3 linked regions of the Anolis sagrei genome follow. The protein of the gene in region 2 interacts with the protein of the main gene of each other region in a pairwise test. Links are inferred from orthologs where the notes say so. Each region holds a gene or a part of one and is shown on either strand. Other genes may lie near its edges.

What was found.
Region 1: the proteins of TFIP11 (region 2) and CCDC146 interact in binary tests that used the Homo sapiens proteins (3 or more experiments, as listed by UniProt). The two-hybrid records come from large-scale screens. The link is inferred for Anolis sagrei from reciprocal best matches to the Homo sapiens genes TFIP11 and CCDC146.
Region 3: the proteins of TFIP11 (region 2) and RRP7A interact in binary tests that used the Homo sapiens proteins (3 or more experiments, as listed by UniProt). The link is inferred for Anolis sagrei from reciprocal best matches to the Homo sapiens genes TFIP11 and RRP7A.

The regions. Positions count from the first base shown.
Region 1 is NC_090025.1:85,575,290-85,580,659, forward strand, and holds the start of CCDC146 (coiled-coil domain-containing protein 146), read left to right. Parts: upstream 1-2,375; 5' UTR 2,376-2,531; intron 2,532-5,370. Other genes in the region: protein FAM185A, read right to left, coding at 1,610-2,096. UniProt on the Homo sapiens protein: Essential for sperm flagellum biogenesis and male fertility.
Region 2 is NC_090034.1:60,706,622-60,711,991, reverse strand, and holds the start of TFIP11 (tuftelin-interacting protein 11), read right to left. Parts: upstream 3,772-5,370; 5' UTR 3,616-3,771; intron 1-3,615. UniProt on the Homo sapiens protein: Involved in pre-mRNA splicing, specifically in spliceosome disassembly during late-stage splicing events. Intron turnover seems to proceed through reactions in two lariat-intron associated complexes termed Intron Large (IL) and Intron Small (IS).
Region 3 is NC_090025.1:160,159,456-160,164,825, forward strand, and holds the start of RRP7A (ribosomal RNA-processing protein 7 homolog A), read left to right. Parts: upstream 1-2,168; 5' UTR 2,169-2,234; coding exon 2,235-2,298; intron 2,299-4,182; coding exon 4,183-4,325; intron 4,326-5,345; coding exon 5,346-5,370. UniProt on the Homo sapiens protein: Nucleolar protein that is involved in ribosomal RNA (rRNA) processing. Also plays a role in primary cilia resorption, and cell cycle progression in neurogenesis and neocortex development.

The sequences.
Region 1 (5,370 bases), on a different chromosome or scaffold from region 2:
TTGAGTGAAATTATAATTCCACTTTGTTTGTGACCGCATCTCCGTATATGAACCCACATGATCCCTCCGTTCATCTGGAGAGGCCCTGCTCACGATTCCACCTGCGTCGCAAGCGCGTTTGGTGGGGACGAGGGACAGGGCCTTCTCTGTGGTAGCCCCCCGGCTCTGGAACTCTCTCCCCAAGGACATCAGACAAGCCCCAACGTTGGCAGTCTTTAGGAGGAGCTTGAAGACCTGGCTGTTCCAGTGTGCCTTTCCAGAATAGGAAACTCCCAGCATCATGTCCCAAAAGCACTTTATTAGAGATTTAAGATTGTCTGCACATCGCACCTACTCTAAAATCCTTACATTTCACCTGTCATGTCCAGCACTTTTAATCTTATTCATTGCATTTGGCCCGACCCTTAATTTTTAAATGTGTCATGGTGTTATTGTTTAATGTTTACTGTTATTGCTTTAATGTTTATTGGTTTGCTTTTTGAATTTTATTGTTGTTTTTGTTATGCTGTTGTTTATTGAGGGCCTTGGCCTTTGTAAGCCGCACCGAGTCCTTTGGGAGATGTTAGCGGGGTACAAATAAAGTTAATAATAATAATAATAATAATAATAATAATAATTGTAAATCCAATGTAGTTGCATAGAATCTGTATGTCTGTGTGTCCAATGTCATTCTTTGCCTAAATGTTTTCTGTAAACTGATATACCTTCTCAGACTGGAAATTGCAATAAAAAGAACCTATGCTTCAAAGTCATTGAAAAGTCTTCTGATCTTCTCATGGCCAAATGGTGCTCTTTTTATGTAACAAGCAAAGTCATTCTTCATCTCCCAAAACCTGGTTTTCAAAAATCTTGCTAAGTATATTGTTTTTCTTCTGCATATTAGTTTTTATCATTGTTTTGATATCTTATTTGTGAAAACTGCTATGGAATCACTGAGACTGTGGCGCAGCTGGCTGGGAGTCAGCTGCATTAAGATCACTACTGAACGAAAGTTCATGAGTTCGAAGCCAGCCCGGGTCAGAGTGAGCTTCCAACCAATTTTTGTAGTTTGCTGTCGACCTTTGCAGCCCGAAAGACAGTTGCATCCGTCAAGTAGGAAATTTAGGTACCGCTTATGTGGGGAGGCTAATTTAACTAATTTACGATGTCATAACAATTTCCAGCAAGCGTGCAAAGAATGAGGAAGTACTTCATCAGTGTCACAAATGGACAGTGAAGCAACAGTTCCCCTGGTGGCCAGAATACCCTCATGAAAGCTGGAATGGGTATTGTGAATGGGTATTGTAGTAACTGTTTATTAATTGTGTAATGTGTTAGGTTGTTAACTGTTTTTATACTGTAGCACTGAATTTTTGCTGTTCATATTTGTTGTGAACCGCTGTGAGTCGCCTTCGGGCTGAGAACAGCGGTATATAAGTAAGGTAAATAAATAAATAAATAATGTTAAATAGCCTCTGTGTGTCTGTCTATATATGTTGTGTGTCTATGGCATTGAATATTTGCCATGTATATGTACATTGTAATCTGCCCTGAGTCCCCTGCGGGGTGAGAAGGGTGAATATATATATATATATATATATACTGTAAAAGTCATTCACGACACACGTACCAAATTTCATGGGCATTCTCACATCCACCGAGGCAGCACTGTCCACGCCACCTGAGATGATGCTCACTTGCTTAAGCCCCTCGTCGTATTTCACCTGCAAAGAATCCAGGCTTGATCTTGGGTGGTGCATCTCGGCGTTGGCCCCTTTCACGGTCACGAAAACCCTGTCTCCATCAGGGTGCTTGTGGGGGTCCAGGGGGCACAGAGTGATGTGGCAAGGGAGGCGGGCCTTCAGTGAGCCAAAGGGGCACACAGCCAGGGCCCACTCCTTGAGGGCTTCCCTGTTCTCTGGCCTGGGCTCTTTGGGTTGAGAGGGATCTTGACTTCTGCTGCCAGGGCTGGTTGAAAGCAAGCGAGGCAGTAGTTGGCAGGTGCCACTCCATGTTTCCTGCCCAGCAAGGCCTCCTCCACCAGACAGGAACCAGTTCCTTGCTGGGATCCCAGCTGCCAAGTGCCAACATCTGGGCAAGAGAGGCAGCATCATCATGCCCTACCTGTCTGGGCTTAGTCGACCAAGGCAGCTTCTCCTTCCACAAAAATAGATGGTTCCACAGCCCAAGACTTTGTAGACTCTTTGGCTCCTTGCATGAGAGACAAGCCCACCCTCTGGTTTCAAAAAATGTCTAAAACTAGGGCCTGTGAACTGTCCTTCAGGCACTACACTAGCCTAGCCATGCCCAAGTGGCTGCTGGGAAATGTGGTTTCCACTCAATTTTTCTGAGAGTCTTGAACGACAACTCCCAGAATGCAGAGCGTCAACAGCGACTGGGAAGAGAGGATGTTTTCGTGCGGTGCGGAAGGAACAGCCAATAAGAAGAAAGGAGGCGGAAGAGGCGGGAAGAGGCGGAAGCAGAGCGTCGGTTTCCATGGGAACGCACGACGCTGAGGGAAAGGCGGCAGGAGCGTCGTGGGAGCTGAAAGGGTAAAGCGGGCCAAGGCTGGGAAGGAGGTCGAATGAGTAGATACAGTTATGTCAAACTGCGTTCATTCTGCAGTGTAGATGCCCCCACTTTCCCCTCGGTTTACTTCAATTGTTTTAAGTGGCTTCACGGAGCAAAAGGGTCCTCATGCTCCATTCTCTCAGTAGGGGAAAAGGGAAAGGTCGAAGGGAAGAGAGGGAAGGCCTTTCTTCACAGCCATATCACCCAGAATATAAAGGCATATAGAATCTCCTTTCTTGTAGTTTGACGCCATTGTTCCGCGTCCTAGTCTCCAGGGAAGCACAAAACAAGCTTGCTCCCTCCTCCCCGTGGCTTCCTCTCACATATTTATACATGGCTATCATATCTCCTCTCAGCCTTCTCTTCTTCAGGCTAAACATGCCCAGCTCTTTAAGCCGCTCCTCATAGGGCTTGTTCTCCAGAACCTTGATCATTTTAGTCACCCTCCTCTGGACACATTCCAGCTTGTCAATATCTTTCTTGAATTGTGGTGCCCAGAATTGGACACAATATTCCAGATCCTGCAAGGAAGACTCCAGCAATACATGGAACGAGAGTTACCAGATGTGCAAGCTGGGTTTAGAAAAGGCAGAGGAACAAGAGACCAGATTGCCAAAATTCGCTGGATAATGGAGAAAGGCAGGGAGTTTCAGAAAAACATCTATTTCTGCTTCATTGACTATTCTAAAGCCTTTGACTGTGTGGATCATAATACATTGTGGCAAGTTCTTGGTGGGATGGGCATACCAAGCCACCGTGTCTCTCTCCTGAGGAATCTGTACAAGGACCAAGTAGCAACAGTCAGAACTGACCACGGAACAACAGACTGGTTCAAGATTGGGAAAGGCGTACGGCAAGGCTGCATCCTCTCACCCAACCTTTTTAACTTGTATGCAGAACACATCATGCGATATGCGGGGCTTGATGAATGCAAGGCTGGGGTGAAAATTGCTGGAAGAAACATTAACAACCTCAGAGATGCAGATGACACCACTCTGATGGCCGAAAGCGAGGAGGAGCTGAGGAGCCTTCTAATCAAGGTGAAAGAAGAAAGCGCAAAAGCTGGGTTGCAGCTAAACATAAAAAAAACCAAGATTATGGCAACAAGAATGATTGACAACTGGGAAATAGAGGGAGAAAATGTGGAGGCCGTGACAAACTTTGTATTTCTAGGCGCAAAGATTACTGCAGATGCAGACTGTGGCCAGGAAATCAGAAGACGCTTACTTCTTGGGAGGAGAGCAATGTCCAGTCTCGATAAAATAGTAAAGAGTAGAGACATCAGACTGGCAACAAAGATCCGCCTAGTCAAAGCCATGGTATTCCCTGTAGTAACCTACGGATGTGAGAGCTGGACCTTAGGGAAGGCTGAGCGAAGGAAGATAGATGCTTTTGAGCTGTGGTGTTGGAGGAAAGTTCTGAGAGTGCCTTGGACTGCGAGAAGATCCAACCAGTCCATCCTCCAGGAAATAAAGCCCGACTGCTCATTGGAGGGAAGGATACTAGAGACAAAGTTGAAGTACTTTGGCCACATCATGAGGAGACAGGAAAGCCTAGAGAAGACAATTATGCTGGGGAAAGTGACGGAAGGCAAAAGGAAGAGGGGGCCAACCAAGGGCAAGATGGATGGATGGCATCCTTGAAGTGACTGGACTGACCTTGAAGGAGCTGGGGGTGGTGACGGCCGACAGGGAGCTCTGGCGTGGGCTGGTCCATGAGGTCACGAAGAGTCGGAGACGACTGAATGAATGAACAACAACAAAACAATTTAAAAACAATTTAAATTGTCTGGAGAACAAGCCCTATGAGGAGCGGCTTAAGGAGCTGGGCATGTTTAGCCTGAAGAAGAGAAGGCTGAGAGGAGATATGATAGCCATGTATAAATATGTGAGAGGAAGCCACAGGGAGGAGGGAGCAAGCTTGTTTTCTGCTTCCCTGAGGACTAGGACACGGAACAATGGCTTCAAACTGCAAGAGAGGAGATTCCATCTGAACATGAGGAAGAACTTCCTGACTGTGAGAGCCATTCAGCAGTGGAACTCTCTGCCTCGGAGTGTGGTGGAGGCTCTTTCTTTGGAAGCTTTCAAACAGAAGCTGGATGGCCATCTGTCAGGGGTGATTTGAATGCAATATTCCTGCTTCTTGGCAAGGGGTTGGACTGGATGGCCCATAAGGTCTCTTCCAACTCTTTGATTCCATGATTCTATGATTCTAAAAACAACAATATCAGACATCAAAGGTCTGTTGACACAGATATGTCTTACATGCCCTGCGGAAAGCTGATAGGTCCCGCAAGGTGGCAGAGTATTCCAGAGCGATGGTGCCACTGCTGTGAAGGCTCTGCGCCTGGTTGCTGTTAGACGCAAGGTCTTGACGCTGGGAATTTCCAATAGATCTTGGTCCTCAGAACGGAGGGATCTCTGGGGTTGGTAGGGGGTGAGGCGGTCCCTCAGGTACATCGGCCCCAGACCATGCAAGGCCTTAAAGGTGAGTACCATCACTTTGAAAGTAATCCGGTGCTCAATTGGTAACCAATGCAGCTGTAGTAAGATTGGTGTTATGTGGCATCTCATCAGAATTCCCGCAAGAAGCCGAGCAGCTGCATTTTGTACCAACTTGAGCTTCCAGATCACCGACAGAGGAAGGCCAATGTAGAGGGCGTTACAGTAGTCCAGTCTTGAGATGACCGTGGCCTGGATCACCATAGCTAGGTCGTCCCTGGACAGGTAGGGGGCCAGCCGTCTAACCTGCTGCAGATGAAAAAAGGTGGGAATACCATTGCTTTGACTATGCGGATCTTTGTTGCTGGTGTGATGTCTC
Region 2 (5,370 bases):
ATAAAGCAAAGGGGACACTATGGAAGAAGAATAGTAACAAGAATAATATAATTTAATATAATACTCTGTTATTAATATAACATAACATAACATGAAATAATATAATGATATATAATAGAAAAATGCTAATTATTGATATTAATAATAATATAATGATAATGTAATAGTAGGTAAGTGAGACAGCGACATGGCAGGAAGCTCTAGAAGAAGATAATGATAATAATAATCATAATAATAATAACATAATATAATAGAAATATTATAATCCATATACATAACTAGCGGTCCCCTGCCACGTGTTGCTGTGGCCCAGTATAGTGATCTGGAAAATAATGTAATGAGAAAGTGCTGGCTTCTAATATATGTAATGTCTTTCTGCTTGTGGGTAACCAGTATTTCTTGCTGTTTCTTTGCCAGTGTTAATGTGGAGATTGTCTGGTTGGCCTACTCTGGAACATGCAACATATCATTGTCCTTCTTTAGGGGTCCCTTTCAGATCTATGGTACTGCATCTGTCATATACATATGTGTGTGTGTGTGTGTGTGAATGGCTGGATGGCCCTTTGTCAGGAGGGCTTTGATTATGATTTCTTGCCCTGGTGAAGGGAGTTGGACTGGATGGCCTTAAGGCAGTATTTCTCATCCTGGTAAGTCAAGACCCCGGGTGGGGGGGAGAGTCACCAGAGGGGTGTCAGAAGGGTCACCAAAGACCACCGGAAAACACAGTATTTTCTGTTGGTCATGGGGGTTCAATGTGGGATGTTTGGCCCAATTCCATCATTGGTGGGGTTTGGAATGCTCCTTGATTGTAGGTGAACTATAAATCCCAGTAAGTTCAACTCCCAAATGTCAAGGTCTATGTCCCCCAAACTCCATCTGTGTTCATATTTGGGTGTATTGAATGCTTGTGCCAAGTTTGGTCCAGATCCATCATTGTTTGAGTCCACAGTGCTCTCAGGATGTAGGTGAACTACAACTCCCAAACTCAAGGTCAATGCCCACCAAACCCTTCCAGTGTGTTCTGTTGGTCATGGAAGTCCTGTATGCCATGTTTGGTTGAATTCCATCATTGGTGGAGTTCAGAATGCTCTTTGATTGTAAGTGAACTATAAATCCCGGCAACTACAACTCCCAAGTGACAAAATCATAATATTTGAGTGATGATCACTCCTTGTGTTGTGAGACGTTTTGTTGCCAAATTTGGTGTGATTTCGTTCATTGGTTCTTTTGTTTTTAAGGTATTCATTATGCACAGAGCATTTATATATATATATACACACACACACTAGCTGTCCCCTGCCACGCATTGCTGTGGCCCAGTCTGATGATCTGGAAAATAAAGTAATGAGAAAGTGTTGGTTTCTAATATATGTAATTCCTTTATGCTTGTGGGTAAACAGTATTTCTTGGTTTTTTTTTCAGTGTTGATGTGGAGAGTGTCTGGTTTGCCCACCCTGGAACATGCAACATATAATTGTCCTTCTTTAAGGGTCCCTTTCAAATCTATGATACTATGTGTGTGTGTGAATCATATATATCTATCTATATCTATATCTGGATGGCTCTTTGTCAGGAGGGCTCTGATTACATTTTCTTGCCCTCGTGAAGAAGAGAGTTGGAGTGGATGGCCTTAAGTATTTTCTGTTGGTCATGGGGGTTCTGTGTGGGAGGTTTGCCCCAATTGCTGGGGTTCTGAATCCTCTTTGATTGTAGGTGAACTATAAATCCCAGTAACTACAACTCTCAAACATCAAGGTCTATTTCCCTCAAACTTCATCTGTGTTCATATTTGGACATATGGAATATTTGTGCCAAGTATAGTCCAGATCCATCATTGTTTGAGTCCACAGTGCTTTCTGGATGTAGGTGAACTGCAACTCCCAAACTCAAGGTCAAGGCCCACCAAACCATTGTAGTATTTTCTGTTGGTCGTGGGAGTTCTGTGTGCCAAGTTTGGTTCAATTCCATCATTGTTGGAGTTCAGAATGCTCTTTGATTGTAGGTGAACTGTGAATCTCAGTGACTACAACTCCCAAATGTCAAGGTCTATTTCCTCCAAACTCCATCTGTGTTCATATTTTGGCGTATTGAGTGCTTGTGCCAAGTTTGGTCCAGATCCATCATTGTTTGAGTCCACAGTGGCTTCTGGATGTAGGTGAACTGCAACTCCCAAACTCAAGGTCAAGGCCCACCAAACCCTTCCAGTATTTTCTGTTGCTCATGGGGGTTCTGTGTGCCAAGTTTGGTTCAATTCCATCATTGTTGGAGTTCAGAATGCTCTCTGATTATAGGTGAACTATAAATCCCAGCAACTACAATTCCCAAGTGACAAAATCATAATTTTTTGAGTGATGGTCACTCCTTGTGTTGTGAGACGTGTTGTTGCCAAATTTGGTGTGCTTTCGTTCATTGGTTCTTTTGTTTTTAAGGTACTCATTATGCACAGAGCATTTTTATATATATAGATAGAAGATAGATAGATAGATAGATAGAAGATAGATAGATAGAAGAGAGAGAGAGAGAGAGAGAGAAGATAGATAGACAGATAGAGATATAATAGATAGATAGATATAGAAGATGGATAGAAGATAGATAGATAGATAGATAGATAGAGATATAATAGATAGATAGATGATAGATAGAAGATAGATAGATAGAGATATAATAGATAGAGAGAAGATAGATAGAGATATAATAGATAGATAGATAGATGATAGATAGAAGATAGATAGATAGAGATATAATATATAGAGAGAAGATAGAGATATAATAGATAGATAGATAGATAGATAGAAGATAGATATATAGATAGAGATATAATAGATAGAAGATAGATAGATAGATAGATAGATAGATAGAGATATAATAGATAGAAGATAGATAGATAGCAGATAGATAGATAGAGATATAATAGATAGATGATAGATATAGATAGATGATAGATAGATAGAAGATAGATAGATGATAGATAGAAGATAGATGATAGATATAGATAGATAGAGAGAGAGATAGAAGATAGATGATAGATATAGATAGATAGATAGATAGATAGAAGATAGATAGATGATATAGATAGATAGATAGATAGATAGATAGATGATAGATAGAAGATAGATAGATAGAGATATAATAAATAGATAGATAGATAGATAGATAGAAGATAGATAAATAGATAGAGATATAATAGATAGAAGATAGATAGATAGAAGATAGACAGAGATATAATAGATGGAAGATAGATAGATAGAGATATAATAGATAGATAGATAGCAGATAGATAGAGATATAATAGATAGATAGATAGATAGATAGATAGATAGATGATAGATAGAAGATAGAGAGAGAGAGAGAGAGAGAAGATAGATAGATAGAAGATAGAGATAGATAGATAGATAGATAGATAGATAGAAGATAGATAGATAATTGCATATTATTATATACAATAGAATAAATATAATAATAAATACTGTTTAACCCACTGTTTCCAGGCAGAACAAGCCCCGTAACGGTTTCCATGGCAACCCTTTTATAATAGTTTATTAATATAAAATATATTAATATGTGATAGTCATAAATATGGCAATAATAATAATATTATATATATATATTTCTTACCTTCCTTCTTTCGTGAAAGGGAAACAAAGGCCTGCTTCTTCTTCACAGCCTTCTCCTCGCTGAAATGAGCGCCACTTCCTGTTTGGCCTTCAAGCGACTGCGACTGCGCCTGCGAGCTCAGCGTTGACAATGGTGAAGCCCGCCCCGGAAGTGACGCCTTGCAGGAGCAAGCGGATTGAATGAGGAAACAATAATGGGCGACGTAGCGACGTTTCGTGGTGACCGCCCTCATTTTCTCATCTCTGACTTTCTAGTTTTTCGTCTCGATGGTTACGGTGGCCCGAAAAGCTCATTTCCAGACTCATAGGATGAAGCTCATAATAAGAATACTAATGACAATAATAATAATAGTATACTATAAAATACACAAATTGAAAACAAGAATGTGTGTGTGTGTGTATATATATTTATATATATATATATGTGTGTGTGTGTATATATATATATATATATATATATATTGAAAATAAGAATATAATAAAATATGGATATAATATAATAATTTTTAAATATAATTTATTTATTTATCATTTATTTACTTCATTTGTATACCGCCATTCTCAGCCCTAACACGACTCATAGCAGTTTACAACAAGCAAAAACAAGGCGAACAATCAAGGCAAAAATTCAATGTGGCATCAAGAAGGTACTTAAAAACAGTTAACACAGAAACAAATTAAACAATTTAACACTAATAAACATTCAGTGGCGTCTCATAACTAGAATCATGATCCAAACTTGTCAGTCGTAGTTCCATTTCCTGAAATTCATTGCACTGCTTATTCAAACGCCTGTTCAAATAACCAGGTTTTCACTTTCCTCCGGAATACCATCAATGAGGGGGCCAATCTGATGTCCGTGGGAAGGCCGTTCCACAGCCGAGGGGCCACCACCGAGAAGGCCCTGTCTCTTGTCCCCGCCAGCCGCGCCTGTGTTGCAGGCGGGATCGAGAGCAGGGCCTCCCCGGAAGATCTCAAAGTCCTAGTGGGTTCATAGGTGGAGATGCGGATAGGTAACTTGGGCCAGAACCGTTTAGGGCTTTATAGGCCAAAGCCATGTGTGCTATAATGTCAATCAAAATCATAAATCTCCTGGTTCCATTATATGCAAATTACTGACTGCTTTAAGGAAGACAAAAAGAAAGACTTCTCCCCACAAGAGTCACTGTGGGACAAAATAATGGAAAAGGATAAAAAAGTGGTCAGAACCCTTTATGGGAAACTCCTGGAGTGGGAAACTGAACTGGAAGTTGTAAAGGAGAATATGACCAGCTGGGCAGCTGATTTCGGGCACTCTATTCTCCTCAGCGAGTGGGAGGCTATATGGAAGAGAAAATTAAAATTTGCAAAATCCACCAACATACTAGAAAATTGGCAAAAAATCTTCCACCGATGGTACCTAACTCCACAGAAGATGGCAAAATTCCACAAAGGAACGAACAGTGACTGCTGGAAGTGTGGGGGGGAGCTGGGTACCCACTATCACGCATGGTGGCAGTGCAAAAAAGTCAGGAACTTCTGGCGGGAGGTGCATAGGGCAGTGCAGAAGATCCTGCAGATAAAAGTGGAGTTTAAAGCAGAATATTATCTTTTACATTTATTAGATTTTCAGTTAGACCCTAACAAAGATATGTTGTTGTTTCACTTCTCAGCAGCCGCCAGAATTGTGCTCGCCGGCAAGTGGAAGAGTAAGGAATTACCAAAAATTGATACCTGGCTATTAAAAATTAGAGATTTAATGGAGATGGACACTCTT
Region 3 (5,370 bases), on a different chromosome or scaffold from region 2:
TCACTGACATCATTGCTAAGACACAATTCCTTTCTGCAAGCATCGCAGATAATCATTGGGAATGGAAAACTGACCAATATTTTTTGATATTTTATATTAAATCAAGACACAAATACCTATGGACTCCGGGCTGAGGGGTTGAATTTTTATCCTCCCAGCTACAAGATTTAAGCTTTTCTATTAATCTGTGCTGAAATGCTGTGGTTGTAAAAAAGAAAAAAAGACTTGCTTTCTTCTGTTGTAGAACCTGCTGATGGGTGGCTTCTACTTTCCCTTTGCTCTTCAGTCTGTATAGTCTTAGTTTATTCTAGCACCGACACTTGAGATGCGTCATACTTACAATCCTTTAGGATGTGGAAGGAGCTTTTTTCCCCCAATAAAATTTGCGGATCTTGGTTACTAATTTTGGACTGGTCATAATTAAACCTGTACTGGGGAGGTGTGCTTTGAAACGTCAGTTCTTTTGTGCCGAACAGCTTGTTCCTTGTTCTGGGGTTTCACTTGCAACTGTGATCAGCTACAAGGGAAGGGAAGGTTGGGGCTGGAGGACTCTTATGTACTACGTTCCATAATAAACATTTGTTATACAGACTGCTCGGATCTGCCTTATTGAAAAGAGCAAGATTTGTTTTAAAGTCAGTGAAGTACATCTATGTTACTTTGGAGATCTTTTATCTGAACCAGCCAAACTTCAAGTTTAGGTCACTGGTCAAAGCTGACAGGTTGGCATGCTTTCCCGTGTATGGGGAAGACTTCATGCCCTGAATGAAGCATGTGAGAAGGAAACTGTTCAGATTGGCTTTCAGGTATTGAGCGCTTGAGAGTTTATGGGGGAACAAATATTGTTTGTGTGGTTCAAAACAATGTAAAAGAATACATGTATCCATACATCCCAAATCACGGTAGGCTCTTAGAAATTGTGGGAGTTGGAAGTCCAAAGCATCTGGAGGGCCAAAGTTTGCCCATGTTTGTTGTAGAGCAGTCAAAAGGTAACCAATGAACAAGTCCACATTATTTGCTACAAGGTGACATCTGTACTAGATTGACATGATTCAATTGAAATTAGTGTGTTTATCTGGTGGGGTTCCTGTCCCCGGTTTCTCTTCCTTTTTCCTCAAACCTTTTTCCCTTTGCTTTTTCTTCTCTCCCCTTGCCCTCCTTTTTCTTTCTTCCCCCTTCCTTTTTCTTCTCCTTTCTCTTCCTTCCTTCCTTCCTTCCTTTCATCTCTACTTTCTCCCTTCTCCAGCTCCGAGGGCCAATTTCACAGCGTCTCCATGACACTCTTCACATCCCATCCCCTTTCTTCCTTTCCCTTCCTCCCTCCTTTCCCTTCTTTCCTTCCTTCCATTCTCCTTCCTTCCCTCTTTACTTCCTTCCTTTCTTCTTCCCCTCCTTTTCCTTCCTTCCCTCTTTCCTCCCTCTCTTACCTTCTTTTCCCTCCCCCTTCCCTCCCTTTTCTTCCATTTCTCCCTTCCTTCACTTCCCCTTCCTTCCATCGCTCCCTCCCTTTCCTTCCTTCCCTTTTTCCTTCCTCCCTTCCCTTTTCCCTCCCACCTTTCCTCCCCTTCCCTCCTTTTCCTTCTTCCCTTCTCTTCTCTCCCTCCTTTCCTCCCCTTCCTTCCCATCTCTCCCTTCCTTCCCTCCTCTCCTCCCATCACTCCATTCCTCCTTCCCTTTCCTTCCTTCCCTCCCTTTCCTTCCTCCCTTCCCCCTCTTTATTCCCTTCCTTCCCCTTCCCTCCTTTTCCTTCTCCCCTTCTCTTCCCTTCTTTTCTCTCTCTCCTTTCCTCCCCTTCCTTCCCTTCCATCTCTCCCTTCCCTCCTCTCCTTCCATCACTCCATTCCCTTCTTCCCTTCCCTCCTTTTCATTCCTCCCTTCCCTTCTTTCCCTCCCTCCTTTCCTCCCCTTCCTTCGCTCCCTTCCTCTTCCTCTCCTTCCATCTCTCCCTTCTCCTTCCTTTCCTCCTTCTCTCCCTACCCATACCTCCGCCCTCCCTTCCCTCTCCCTATTTCCTTCCTTCCTTTCCCAGTGACATCACAAAGGGCCCCATCCCCTAGCAACAGCCAATCATCCACTCCCTCGGAAGAGAAAGCTAAAGGCCCTGCAGCGCTGCCCTCGCGCGTATTTGCGCCTCTTCGAGAATCTCCCCCGAATCGCCGCCCCCGCCCCCTGGGAAACTACCACTCCCAGGATGCTTTGCGGCAAGCGAGGCCACTTCCTGTTCGTGGAGCAAGATGGCGGCGCCGGGAAAGAGGCACGAGAGGAGCGGGAGGGCGGCCGCCCCCTTGGGCTTCGCGGGTGAGGAGGGGTCAGGTCTCTGGGGAACCCGGTGCGGGGACGGGTATTTGGTAACCCCCTGGCAGGTGAAAGGGCTGCCAAACCGCATTAATTCTACAGTGTAGACTAGTAATGGGCCAACTTGGGTCCTCCAGGTGTTTTGGACTTCAACTCCCATCATTCCTAACAGCCTCAGGCCCCTTCCTTTTCCCCCTCAGCCGCTTAAGCGGCTGAGGGGGAAAAGGAAAGGGCCTGAGGCTGTTAGGAATGCTGGGAGTTGAAGTCCAAAACACCTGGAGGACCCAAGTTGGCCCATGCCTGGCCTAGGCCCTTGGAAACAACTTTCTTTCAACTTAACTCCATGATTTGCAGAAGGAACTGAATGGGAGGTTGGCAAAACCACACTTCCCTTCAGTTCCATTCACGTTGCACAAAATGGACTACGTTTTAATAAAGGCATGGGCTGAATAGTCCTTCAGGTTGAAAGGGAAAAAAAGACTGTTTACTGCTATCTTTTGTTACACTTGTATTAAAATCTCAAAGTTTTTGTGTATTTTCATGGGTTTGCTGTGCTAAAATGGATTTTCAGGGAGATACCACAAATAATACAGGCAGCCCCCAAGTTACAGAAAAGATAGGTTCTGTAGGGTTGTGCTTCAGTTGAATTTGTATGTAAGTCAGAACAGGTGCATTTTTGGAGTGTTATTCCAATTTAAAAAAAAACACACACACACACACACACACACATAAAACTAGCATAGGTAAAGTAAAGGTTTCTACTGAGATTAAGTCTAGTTATGTCCGACTCTGGGGGTTGATGCTCATCTCCATTTCTATGCTGAAGAGCCGGCGTTGTCCATAGACACCTCCAAGGTCATGCGGCCAGCATGACTGCATGGAGCACAGAAGCAGTACCTATTGATCTACTCACATTTGCATGTTTTTGAACTGCTAGGTTGCCAAAAGCTGGGGCTATCAGTGGGAGCTCACCCCGCTCCCCAGATTCAAACGCCAACCTTTAAGTCAGCAAGCACAGCAGTTTAACCTGCTGTGTCACCAGGGGGCCCTTGGATAACATAGGAAAGGGTTAACACCCTTGTGGTGTTTGTTTTATGGTCTGTGTCCCTGTTCAGAATACTTCCCCACACTTTTTGTCCCTATGATCATTAGATTTTGAAAAAAATGCTTGTTGTGGAAACAAGGACTGGTGCTAAAGCTTCAGTGGAGACACTTTTTCCCCATGATAACTCTTCCAGGAGTGAATTTCCCATCCTAGAGGCAGATTTCTCTCACTTTCTGTTGTCTCACCCTCATTCTTAACTGTGAGTCATTTATAAATCAGATGATTGTAACCCTCCAGGTACTTGGACTTCAATTCCCAACAGCTGGCAAGCTGGCTGGGATTTCTGGGAATTGAAATCCAAAACACCTGGAGAACTGAAGTTAGCCCATGCCTGGTCTAGCAGCCAAAGGGGAAAATCTCTTACACATTTGAATCATTAAGCTGAATAGCTTAATGTTTAGCTTTGAAACACCTAGTAACTCAAAATCCACAAAAGAATGGTGGCTTAATGGTTAACTAAAATGCACAAAACATACCAGATAAGCTTTCAGAATTCCACTGGATTCTTCATCAGCAAAAGATGATAAAAATCATGCAGGAGAAGAAGAAAAAGTGTCAGTGTTGGAGTCGCAGGCCTACCTTTTGTATCAGATGTTATTGCTGTTGTTCGGTTGACTTGGAGGGATCTCAATGGCAACAAAGACCAATCCCCTCTTGACCAAGTTGGGGCTGAGAAAAAGGATAGCAAAGTTTAAGCTCCAAGCTGAGTAGTGTAATTAGTAGCTGGTTGTTTTTAAAGTAACAACATATTTATTTACAAACGGATTCTTCTTTCTTTTTAGTAATACCAGTTAAGTTCTCTGAAAAGCACCAGTCACCTCACTATCTCTATGTGAAGGAACACAAAGTCAGGGAGGAAAAAGATCATAACAGACCTCAAAACAATACCCTTTTTGTTCTGAATGTCCCTCCATATTGTACAGAGGTGAGTATTTGGGAAAGGGAGGGAGAGCTATATGATCATGGACAGAAGATTGTGGATTATATTGTTGTGTGCCTTCATGTCATTCTGACTTGTAACCATAAAATGATTCTATCATTGAGTCTTCTTGGTGAGACTTTGTATATAATGGAATCAAAGCATCTACAGACGTTGGTATCCACAGGGAGTCCTGGAACAAAACTCTTGACAGATACCAGAGCCCACTGTACACTTATTTCTTAATGATTTCAGCCAGTACACAGTGGATACTGGGAATAAAGAGTTCTGCCTGTATACCTGTGTTATCTTATAGAAATAATATGTTGTACCTTCATAAAGAAGAGGAGACCAAGTATTGAACTAATATAACCTTTGTGCTTTTTCAAAAACTCACATTATTTGTCTTCTTAACTATTGAATTTTAAAATATATTTTTAGCCTTTTAAATAATTTTAGTATTTATACTGTTTAAATTTGTCAGACCAGTTTTATTGTATACCACCCTGAGATTTCTAGATAGAGGACAGGAGACATGTGTCTCTATGTATTTACATATTTGTATGTATAAAATGTAGGGCCTATATACTCTAAGGGCACCAGATCCTGTATGATATTGGAAGCTAAGCTCAGTCAGTTCCTAGATGGGAGACTACTATGAATCCCAGGTGCTGTAGGCTGTATTTCAGAAGAAATATTCATATATACAAATTGGGGTATTTTTGTTTATTGCAATAATTATATCCTGTTCTGTAACAAAGAGATTTCATGGCAGCTTTCAACTAACATAAATAGAGGGCAGAACAACATGGACAGACTACATACAAATAACACAATAGAGGACAGGAACCAAGTTCATGGTGCAGGGAATTGTACATTATTCTGAGGAATAGGCACAGATGAGCTCCTTGGGGATGGTTTCAGTCTTTTAAAAGGTTATTTCCTATAGAGCTGAATCATGCTGTGCTTTGGGATTGTTTATTATTGTTGTTGTGAACAATTCACAGTTTATTCTTGCTTCTGTAGGAATGTTTGTCAAGGCTATTCTCTG